Linked DNA regions of Lepisosteus oculatus. The protein of the gene in region 1 interacts with the protein of each later gene in a biochemical or structural test. Links are inferred from orthologs where the notes say so. Each region holds a gene or a part of one and is shown on either strand. Other genes may lie near its edges.

Region 1 (5,860 bases):
TAGAAATGCGTCTTTTTTATCCATTTTCACAGTCCTTGAGCTCACCTCGATCTCGTCTCGTTCTCTTTGTGGCAGCGTGACTATTTGAACAACAACAAGAGCCTAGGAACACTCGAGCAGAACAGAACGCAAAGAAATGGTTTGATTTTATCCTTCAATGCACTTTACACAACGAGCTTCCAAATCCCCTTTAGGTGATATTTCAGCCCTGTCCATGACAAATAAATTGGACCCTAAGGGGGAGATAAACCTGTTCTAGTCTACGTACTGTATCTACCTTTTCAGCTTGTAAATGTTTTCAAAGAGATAAAGTAAAACATGTTTCACATGTGAGTGGTCTAAAGTTAAGGTGGGGAGCTGCGTCAACATGCGTAGGCTGCAAAGGAACAATAATAGGTTATTCTTGGTCTAAAGTTAATCCTGGAGTTAAGAAATTGCATGATGTATACAAAAGATCTAAGAGGGCAGTGACCATGCAGTTTACTTTGTGGTGTGATTTTCTTTTCTTTGAACTGGAATTTCCGTTTTTGTCAAATCTGTCTGAGAGGAGCGATTCATCTGGTTCATTCCGATAACGAACAAGTTACACCGAGCCATGGCGGGCCAGTAGGGGTGCGCACCCTCTGATCTGTAACGGGGACACTATACTGTAAAAAAGGCGCCGACCTTCGGATGAGACATTAAACCGAGGTTCTGACTGTCTGTGGTCATTAAAAATACCAGGGCGTTTCTCGAAAAGAGTAAGGGTGTTACCCCGGCACCCTGGCCAAATTTCCCCCTGGCCTTTACCCATCATGGCCTCCTAATAATCGCCATCTCTGAACTGGCTTCATCACTCTGCTCTCCTCCCCACTGAGAGCTGGTGTGTGGGGAGAGTACTGGGGCGCTACGGCTGCCGTCGCATCATCCAGGTGGGGCTGCACACTGGTGGCCCCAATCACCTGTAAAGCGCTTTGAGAGAGTTAATACTAATGTCATCCGAGAGGGGATGGTGTTACAGGTTTCTCCTGCAAAGTGCACTTTGCCCCATGTAACAGCTCACTTTGGATTACACGATGACACACAGGACTGTTACTTGGCTGTGCTTTACCAATTTCTTTTCCAGTCTTGCCCCTGAGCAGCCCTCGCCTCTTCACTGCTGTATATTATAGTATATTAGTGCTCTAGTGTTACATAAATCCTCATTTTCGTCTCCGACGCAGTGCGCCATAGTCTGTGCTTTGCGGGCTCCCAGTATTGATTTGCTCTGCATTTCGAGCAAGAGAAAAATCCCCCACTGCAACGGATGTAAATAGAACCGTTTCATCGTCCGGCACCTTCAAAAGAACAGACATCACCGGCCCCTTTGATCTCCGTTGCCTACCTACAGTAGGTACCTTATTTCAGGACTGGGATATGTTTCACGTGTGCCGCCTCTGTCCTCAAACTTCCCCGCGGTGACGTTTGCCCCTCCCCAGGGCCCAGCGTGTGTCTGTCGCAAGTGCGGGATCCAGAACAGAGAGAGGGACCGGATTGTTCTCCTCAATGCCCAGCAATTCAGATCAGCATCAAAGCCCGAACCCGGGCTTGAGCAGCCCGCCCGAGTCGCCCAGCTGGGTGAGTTCAGGACCTCCCTCGCGTTCAGGGTATTCAGAGTAACCAGAGAAACAAGCTAAGTCTAAGCAGGAAAGCAGGTTACTTAAGTCAGCAAATAGCACTGGAGATGCAGAGCTCAGCTAGAATCAAAATCAGAAGAACCAGGCCTTGGAAGAGCTGTTCTAGAAGAGACCTTTCTTTGAGAATCGCTCAATAAAAAAGCTGCTTTTAATTTCCATAAAAGTACGATTAAAAGTCAATTAAAAAAACGCATTACCTGCTTTGTGGCCAAGCTTTTGTTAAAACAAAATTGAGCAAGATGAAGAACACCTCATCACTGGGCAATACCAGCTCTCACCGTTCTATCGCAGTGCAAAGAAAACTACGTTTCCCAGAACGCCAAGCACGGTCCACGCTGGCGCACGCCGTCCCTGCGCCCCCTGGTGGCCGATGCCGATCATCGCAAGGATATCCCATTTATCCGACAAGAGCGGAGATCATCCTGTAGCCAAGCTGGGAGACAGCAGAGCCGAGGAAGAGGGGGAGGCGAGAAGCCGCGTTTCGTTAAGAAGGGAGACGGACAGCGTATAATCAATGAAGGTGCATGCAAAAATAACATAGCCATCGGGTCCAGACGTTGCAGTATCCAGCTAATAAAAAGATCAACGATTTTTTTGGGGGGTTGCCTTCATTTTATTGGCTGTGAGGGAGAATAGGCTATTCTTGCAAAGATGGGTAACCGAGGGATGGAGGATTTAATTCCTCTGGTAAATCAGCTCCAGGATGCCTTTTCTGCAATCGGACAAAATGCCAACCTGGATCTGCCCCAGATCGCCGTGGTCGGCGGCCAAAGTGCGGGCAAAAGCTCGGTTCTGGAGAACTTCGTTGGAAAGTAAGTGATTTTTTTTTTGTGGTATTTCGCTGCGTAAATAAGGTGACAGCAAGAGTGACCGTGGCCATACCGTGGTCTCCAAAAACCCACCCCTTTAAAAACGCATTGGGGAAAATAAAACAAATCGCGAGGCAGCTGTCAAATTCAATTCGCCTTTCAAGGGGGGAATTGCTCTTGAAGGGTTTCTGAATTTTCTCAAATCGATGAAATCCCTGTCAGCCATCGTCATAGCTAGGGGGCAAATATGAGGGGAGATTATTCCGTTACATAAACAGTGTGCACTGTCAGTGCTGTGGACATATTATACAATAGAAAGATACAACACATCAATCCAACCCGTATATTTCCTGGTACACATTTCGCCTGCTATTTTAGCTTATTTGTAACCAGTGTCAACGATTCTTTCTCTGTCCTATTGAGGTGCACTAATCCTAGTGGAGGTGTTTTTTTCCAAGCGTGTTTTCGAGCTCTCCTGATGGTGGAGGTTTTGACATTAAGGGGGTTATATCGATTTTTAAATGGCAGAACGTACCGCCGCTGATGGAGCGGGTTTGCGCTCGCCCTGTATTGTCCCTGTCGTCCCCCAAGATGAAAATGATTACTATTTTTTTGTTGTCGTTTCTGTCAGCCGCAGATTTGAAGCCGCTTGCGGGGGGTCGCCGGGGGCAGGTGACAGCGGCGCTCGCACGGTGATGCGATGAGAAATGCGCACGTAACCAGCCATCTATCAGAGAACTTCCCGGGCTCGAAACACAGCCCGTTCTTCCCCCCAATTGCAAGAATAAAAGATAGGGAACTGAGGGAGCGGAGTTCAGACCGGAAAAAAAATATGGCTGTTAAATAGTGCAGTCGGGATGTTCTAAAGTGGTATAAACATAATGTATTTAGCAATTCCATGCATTCACTTGATAATTTCCCAAGGATGTTTATTGAAGGGAGACGTCCCTGTTCAATATATCAAATATGCAGATGCGTGTAGCAGGAGAGCACCTTACCCCGGTGTGTGGAGCTCCGAGCTTGGTGTTATTTTTAGATCTCGCTGGTGCAGTTCAGTTGCGCTCTGGGGTGCTGTTTAGAGGACACGCACACCCCTACGAAATATTTAGAGCCATCGGCTATAGAACGGAGTGCGGTGTTTTTAAAACGAGCACAGCTGCCATTTTGTTGCACTTTTTTAGCAAGCGTCGAGCTAGCCCGGCGCGGTCCTGTGGTGTTGGTTCAGCTCTGACCTTCAGCGCATTGAAGAAGAGTTGGCGAGCTGCGGGTTGCAAGGAGAGAGCACACACACACATACAAGGCAGCTGTAGGGCGCTCTGTCCCTGTTCCCTGGACGGGTCCGCGCTGTGAAACGCGTCTTGCACACACCCGCGGTCGGTCTGTGGCTTTGCACGTTGCCGTGACCTTGTGTGGGAAGGATATCACCCCGGGGGCCGGTCCCAACGCGCGCACTGTACCTGGACTGCAGCATCCAGTGCGTTTGGCGAGGCCGGCCTGAACGCTCCTCTCCATCCCATGACAACGGAAACGTCGGGCTCCTTAAAGAATGTGTTTACCGTTTTGGAGGACTTTGTTTTTCACCCCCGGGAACCCTGATTTTAAACCCCTCCCATGCCACTACACCTATCTCCCGTCGCCCGCAAAAAAAACGTCTTCCAGCAGCTCCTCCTTTGTTTTTTGGAGATGCCCGGCCTACGTCGTGTCCGGTGTGGTTTTCCAGTTGTGACCGTGACAGCATCAAACTGTCCCATCTTACCTGTGATAACAACTTCATAATAATAATAATAATAATAATAATAATATTAATAATAATAATAATAATAATAAATGTCAATATTGCTTTTAACCTGTGCGCTACGTGTCTGTTCTTAATGAGTAAGGCTGTAGTCAGTTGCTAGGGTTCAGAGAGGTGTGTGTCACTCAGACAGTTCATCATACATGACTTACAAGCCACCTTTGAAGTCTTCCTATGTTGTCTGTTATCTTTTGAGCTTTTTTTATTATTCCTCATTTGCGTTGTGGATGTGATTGTTCATGATCATGAGTGTCTCAACCAGTATAGGTGCTCACTCTAGTGCCGCGGGTTCGAGTCACTAGTGGACTGTGTCTGCTAAGGGCAGGGTGCGATGAGTCGGTCAGGTCTCTAGTGGTTCTCGGCGACGCGCAATAAGCGCGGGGTACGCGCAGCCCTGCGGCGCTGCGGGTGATGGACACGCGTGTTGTCCAATCAGCGCCGTGCCTTTCAGACAGGAGGCCTGAAAGTGGGCGGGTTCGAGGAGTCGACACTTCCTGATTCGCTGAGCTGCGCGGTGGCGGTGCTCATACAGTAGCTGTGACTCGAAAAAGACTAGTCACACACCTGGCGATTCCAAATCGGGTCGGCATAACAAAATCTAATTGTACATTTGTTTTTTTTTAAAAAGCACAATTATGCCGCAAGTTTAAAGGGTCACTACTTTACAGGAGAATTCAGATCTCAGTTTTAATATCCGCACGAGGCACTGTATCATCGTATTGTTTATCTCCTGGAACTACAAGCAACTGTACGACCATCCATTTTCTAAACCCTTTATCCACCACAGGGTTGCAGGGAAGCCAGAGTCTATCAAAGCAAGCAAGGCAGGCTACCCCTTGGATGGGACGGCAGTCCATCACAGGGCAACACACAGACACACACTCGCACCAGAGCCCATTCATATATATTAATAATATCAATACAGATTAATACCGTATATTAAACTCTCAATATAGATACAAATATTTGGTGATGGCCTTTTTGGATGTGAAGGAGAGTACCCAAAAATGCAGATTATTTAAAACTGGTTTGAGTATAAATAGGATTCAATCCAATGTTTGACCAGTTTTCTTTGGAATGAGGAGTGCAGTATGGGGTGTGATCATGACAAATTATGTGGGAGGGAGTTTGCTCTCCGATCTCCTTCTGTCATTATAGTGAGACAAATCCCGGTGCACATGAAATACAATCCGGGCGTCACAACTCTAGTCTGATCTTGTCCTGAAATGGTGTAGTCTTGCAGACCTTGCAATTGTCTTTACAGTGTCAATGACTGAAAACCTGGGAACAACAGCAGTACTGGCTAATCAATTAAAAAAATGATTCAATTAAGCAATTAACAGCGCGGAATTAAATTCGGGGACAGAATTAGCTATCACATTATACGATATGGGCAAACTGAAAAGTCTGTAAATATGGGATTACAGAGATCCCCATGATATTTTAATCTATCTTCTGTCTAAAACTAAGCTCAGGGTCAGCGCTAGAGGAGAAAACAATATCTGGTCAGTCTAAAGACCACGGAGGTCCTAGTGAATGAACTAGATTGAAAGGGCTCCAGAAATCAGCTTTCATGGGAATCCTTTTCACTGCCTTTTGGT
Region 2 (5,860 bases), on another chromosome or scaffold:
TTTGCCAGGTGGTTAGAAAGCTACAGGAGGGTGGCCGCTGATTCGTGCGCGGACTTGTCAGGTTAAAATGAGGTGTTGCTAGGCAACCAGATTGGGTGCAGAATCTAGAGACAACGTTCACAGCTGGTATTGCAATCCTAACGGATAATACAAGCACACAGACATATTCAAGAACTAAACATAGGATTGTTATAAAAAAAAAATCAGAATCCATGAAACTGAAGGTTGGCTCCGCTGAAGTCTTCTGTGCTTAGCGTGGCTCTGCGGTTCCGCAGCCTTCCAGGAGGGGGAGACACAGCACCACACAAAATAACACAAAACAACAACACAATCTGCTTCCCCAGGACAAAACGTTTTTCTCTTTAACCTCTCTCTCATACAAATAAAAGGAAATATAAACTTCCACAACATGACAATTTTCTCTTTTTTTGCGATATACACATATAATAATGACCAGGAATGTGTTTTTCTCTACTGGAATCTGAAAAAAAGACATCAGAAGATCAGAGAGATATATAGAAAATAATATTGCAATGGGGTCTAAACCAATATATATTTTTTTAAATACAACAGCAAAAGAACAATTAAGGAGATTACAACATGAGAAACGTTTGGAAAATGGCTGATGGGAGAAATAAATAATAATAATAATTAATAATAATAATAATAATAATAATAATTGCTTACACTTATATAGCGCTTTTCTGGACACTCCACTCAAAGCGCTTTTCAGGTAATGGGGACTCCCCTCCACCATCACCAATGTGCAGCCCCACCTGGATATAAAAATAAAGATCATATCTTAGGATAGTACACAGAGAGTTCTCTGTACAGGGAGTACAGATAAGGGGTACATGTTCTGATTGGGGTGCTGGAATTAGCAAAGTACCCCTAATTTAACAGAATAAAAGGTTTTCTCAAGGTTAATGAATTTGAGGTTTCCGATATTCCAGTGAGTATTCCATGATTCTTCACAGTCTGAACTCTAGGTCCGGCCTGGAGCTCCTGGGCCCAGAATCGGCCCACTGTAGTCGTCTCTAAGATGCTGGCAGGTGGCAGCCCAGATGCATTCTGGGATGAGAAGTACAATGGCTTCACTCAGCACAGATCAAAGGTCAATACTGTTGTACTGCCCAGAGCCAGCTACTGCGGTCTGGAGGTCAGGCTGCCTTGCCTGTCCTCAGCGTCTCTGCAGTGGTGCTGTTGAACCTGCTGGTCTGCCAATCCTACATGCTGTGATGAGATGTTTCACCCCCATTTCAGTTACTGTGATATGGACATGTCCAGGTGATGTTGCAGATTATCACGGAGTGACGCGCTCAGTGCCGGCAATCCCATCCTCCTTCCCAATTCCTGATGGCACCTCAGTTCTCAACCTTACTAAACGAGCACTGGGGCTTCTGTTCACCATCCAGTGTTGATCATGGTGTCCAGTCTCACTGGTCCTGTCTGTGTCTGTGACAGTGTCCACTCTCACTGGTCCTGTCTGTGTCTCACCCAGTCCTGTCTGTGTCTGTGCTGGTGTCCAGTCTCACTGGTCCTGTCTGTGTCTCACCCAGTCCTGTCTGTGTCTATGCTGGTGTCCAGTCTCACTGGTCCTGTCTGTGTCTCACTGGTCCTGTCTGTGTCTGTGCTGTGTCCAGTTTTACTGGTCCTATCTGTGTCTGTGCTGTGTCCAGTTTCAATGATCCTGTCTGCGTTTATGCTGGTGTCCAGTCTCACTGGTCCTGTTTGGATCTCACTGGTCCTGTCTGTGTCTCACCCAGTCCTGTCCATGTCTATGCTGGCGTCCAGTCTCACTGTTCCTCTCTTGTTGCCACTGTTTGTTTTCCTGTAAACTTAATATAATTTAATCTTCTATTTTTTTCCTGTTATTTTCCTTAACCTCAGGAAATACCTGGTAGTTCCCCTGAAAACAAGGTAAAGTTTTCATCTCCAATCTGGAAATACAGAGTGTGAAAACCTTTTTTACATTGAAAATCTGGGAAATGATTTTTTTTTACAGTTTTTAAATCTAAAGATTTATTTGTCTAGTCAGGCTTTTAATTAGTGTTTGCCTCTTCTCCTTTTTTCACTTTTTTATCACTGTCTTTATCTCTGTTCAATGTTACTTTGATGTTTTACGCTGCAAACAGCCCCAAACACTGTGGGTGTACATGGGCACTAAAATTAACGCTTGTAAAATTCTCTCCCATACCGAAACTGCGCGTACCCGCTGCCCGCCTGGAACTGACTTCCTGGGCAGCAGGTGGCGCTGTGCGAACACAGAGGAGGTCGCCCCCCCCCACCGCCCCTCGAGGCTGCCCTGGAATGTCCGTCGGTCTGCGGCTGAACAGGAAGTCTCCGCGGTTGCCATGTAACTTCCTGCAGGGTCCTGGGAGTCCAAGAGACTGCAGGGCCGGGTGGGTTCCGCGCAGAGAGCGAAGGCTGGGTTATAACCGAGAGAACCGGGGCTCCGCCTTGCAGAGAGGAGCGATTCCGAGTCCAAGATGTCTGTGGCGGGGCTGAAGAAGCAGTTTTATAAAGCCAGCCAGGTCAGTGCACAATTTGCTGTTGTTGTTTTCGTTTTATTGCTATCTTGGTTGCTTAGTCTTTCTGTTAGTTGGCTTCGAGTTGTTGTTTTACACGTCAGCGCGTGTCTTGACGGTTTTGGGGTGACTCTTGTCGTGTCGTTACTGCCGGTTGTGTAACTCTTGTGTAGCGATAGTGTGTTGAAGCAGGTCCTTGGACGTCCAGAGAGTCGATTGACTCTGACTCGTCAACACGTTTCTGTCTGTGAGTATAACTGCGCCTCTGTCCGCACGCTTGCTTTTGGGATTTTGAGAGGCTAATTAAAATAGGAATAGTTATATAATATCTTAGGGAAATATGTGTAGTTTGAAGGACAGTTTGTAGCAACACGATTCTTAAAGTAATTGTTATTTTTTTTTCCTGGGACTGTAGCCCCTAGTGTGTTCTACTGGACTGGGACTGTAGCTCCTATTGTGACATGGCTGTCCTACTGTACTGAGACTGTAGCCCCTAGTGTAACAGGATTGGTCAACTGCACTGGTATTGTAGCCCCTATTGTAGTGGGACTGTTCTACTGGACTGGGACTGTTGCCTGTATTATAACAGGACTGTCTTGCTGGACTGGGACTGTAGCCCCTAGTGTAATAGGATTGCTCTACTGGACTGGGACTAGCTTCTATTTGTAATAGGACTGTCCTATTGGACTGGGACTGTAGCCCCTAGTGTAACACGATTGGTCTACTGCACTGGAACTGTAGCTCCTCTTGTAACAGACTTCTGCTGGACTGGGACTGGTCTACTGCATTGGGACTGTAGCCCCTAGTGTAACAGGACTGTTGTGCTGGACTGGGACTGTATCCCCTATTGTGACAGGACTGTCCTGCTGCACTGGGACTGTAGCGCCTAAGGTGACAGGACTGTCCTGCTGCACTGGGACTGTAGCGCCTATTGTAACAGACTTCTACTGGACTGGGACTGGTCTACTGCATTGGGACTGTAGCCCCTAGTGTAACAGGACTGTTGTGCTGGACTGGGACTGTATCCCTTATTGTGACAGGACTGTCCTGCTGCACTGGGACTATAGCGCCTAAGGTGACAGGACTGTCCTGCTGCACTGGGACAGTAGCGCCTATTGTAACAGACTTCTGCTGGACTGGGACTGGTCTACTGCATTGGGACTGTAGCCCCTAGTGTAACAGGACTGTCCTGCTGCACTGGGACTGTATCCCCTATTGTGACAGGACTGTCCTGCTGCACTGGGACTGTAGCGTCTAAGGTGACAGGACTGTCCTGCTGCACTGGGACAGTAGCGCCTATTGTAAAAGACTTCTGCTGGACTGGGACTGGTCTACTGCATTGGGACTGTAGCCCCTAGTGTAACAGGACTGTTGTGCTGGACTGGGACTGTATCCCCTATTGTAACAGGACTGTTATGCTGGACTGGGACTGTATCCCCTATTGTGACAGGACTGTCCTGCTGCACTGGGACTGTAGCGCCTAAGGTGACAGGACTGTCCTGCTGCACTGGGACAGTAGCGCCTATTGTAACAGACTTCTGCTGGACTGGGACTGGTCTACTGCATTGGGACTGTAGCCCCTAGTGTAACAGGACTGTCCTGCTGCACTGGGACTGTATCCCCTATTGTGACAGGACTGTCCTGCTGCACTGGGACTGTAGCGCCTAAGGTGACAGGACTGTCCTGCTGCACTGGGACAGTAGCGCCTATTGTAACAGACTTCTGCTGGACTGGGACTGGTCTACTGCATTGGGACTGTAGCCCCTAGTGTAACAGGACTGTCCTGCTGCACTGGGACTGTATCCCCTATTGTGACAGGACTGTCCTGCTGCACTGGGACTGTAGCGCCTAAGGTGACAGGACTGTCCTGCTGCACTGGGACAGTAGCGCCTATTGTAACAGACTTCTGCTGGACTGGGACTGGTCTACTGCATTGGGACTGTAGCCCCTAGTGTAACAGGACTGTCCTGCTGCATTGGGACTGTATCCCCTATTGTGACGGGACTGTCCTGCTGCACTGGGACTGTAGCGCCTAAGGTGACAGGACTGTCCTACTGCACTGGGACTGTATCCCCTATTTTGACAGGACTGTCCTACTGCACTGGAACTGTATCCCCTATTGTGACAGGACTGTCTAACTGGACTGGGACTGTCCTACTGCACTGGGACTGTAGCTCCTATTGTAACAGACTGTTCTACTGCACTGGAACTGTATCCCCTATTGTAACAGGACTGTCTTACTGGACTGGCACTGTCCCACTGCACTGAGACTGTAGCTCCTATTGTGACAAAACTGGTCTACTGGACTGGGACTAGCTCCTATTTGTAATAGGACTGTCCTATTGGACTGGGACTGTAGCTCCTATTGTAACAGGACTGTTCTACTGGACTGGTACTGTAGCGCCTAATTATACTGAATTTCATTCTCCCACAGTCCCACAGTCCTTGTCAGGTTATCGTTTTGTTCTGACCTACCTGGAGAACTGCTCTTAGCATTCATCTGAAAGTAGATCTCGTGAACAGTTTCTAGTAATTCTGTACCTGTGGTGTCATTTGCACAAGTGTTTAGAAAGGTTAATGATGCATGTTGTTATTTTGTCTAGTGTGTATGTGCTGTTGGGGCCTTGATGGTGTTAAGTTACCCTACGCAAGTGCATCATTGACATTTCTTATTATAAATATTATGCATGAAATATTCCCCATCAGAAGAAGCTGAACTTTGGTTATATATTTAATTTGAGTTACTGATGCGTGGAAGATTGTGATTCCTAGGAATTAATTGGCAGAGCACACTTGGGAATTCTTATTTACAGGGTAAGGTTAAGGTCTGATAATGTCCACATTCCTGCTTCAGACCTGTTATTCCGCAATACGGGCTTATAAAGAAGAGTGAACCACATCTTCCATAAGGAAGCTTTAAATGAATTGTACAGTCACATCGTACAGATGTTTTCAGTATATCCAAGTGTGTTCCAGGAGGCAGAGACTGTCAACAGAGAGAGAATCAGACTGTGGTTCAAATGGCTCAGATTCAGTCTGTTGTCTGACTGTGGTAGTCATTGTGATTGCCCATCTGATATTATGTGCTGTGTGACCCAATAAGAAATTAATAATTGTTTTTCCTCCCTTTTTTCATGGAAGCAATATTTTGTCTAAAGTAATTTTAGGTTGTTTTGAGTTCTAAATAAATGCAGAGAAGAGTCTTCTTGTTTAAAGCGAGTAATTTTAACAGGCTGCAGTCTTAATATGTAATTTATTTATTTTAGGGATCACTGTCATTTTAGTGATTTCTATTCTTGCAGTAAATGGAAGATGTAGCCCAGGCCCTCCCA

The links. The genes of interacting proteins can lie anywhere in the genome.
Region 2: the proteins of dnm1a (region 1) and sh3gl1b form a complex in vitro, tested with the Homo sapiens proteins (2 studies listed by BioGRID and IntAct, with this or other methods). The link is inferred for Lepisosteus oculatus from reciprocal best matches to the Homo sapiens genes DNM1 and SH3GL1.

Annotation. Positions count from the first base shown.
Region 1 is NC_090719.1:12,811,425-12,817,284, forward strand, and holds the start of dnm1a (dynamin-1a), read left to right. Parts: upstream 1-2,041; 5' UTR 2,042-2,306; coding exon 2,307-2,467; intron 2,468-3,921; exon of another isoform or gene 3,922-4,082; intron 4,083-5,860. UniProt on the Homo sapiens protein: Catalyzes the hydrolysis of GTP and utilizes this energy to mediate vesicle scission and participates in many forms of endocytosis, such as clathrin-mediated endocytosis or synaptic vesicle endocytosis as well as rapid endocytosis (RE).
Region 2 is NC_090724.1:9,724,400-9,730,259, reverse strand, and holds the start of sh3gl1b (SH3-domain GRB2-like 1b), read left to right. Parts: upstream 1-2,305; 5' UTR 2,306-2,489; coding exon 2,490-2,534; intron 2,535-5,860. UniProt on the Homo sapiens protein: Implicated in endocytosis. May recruit other proteins to membranes with high curvature.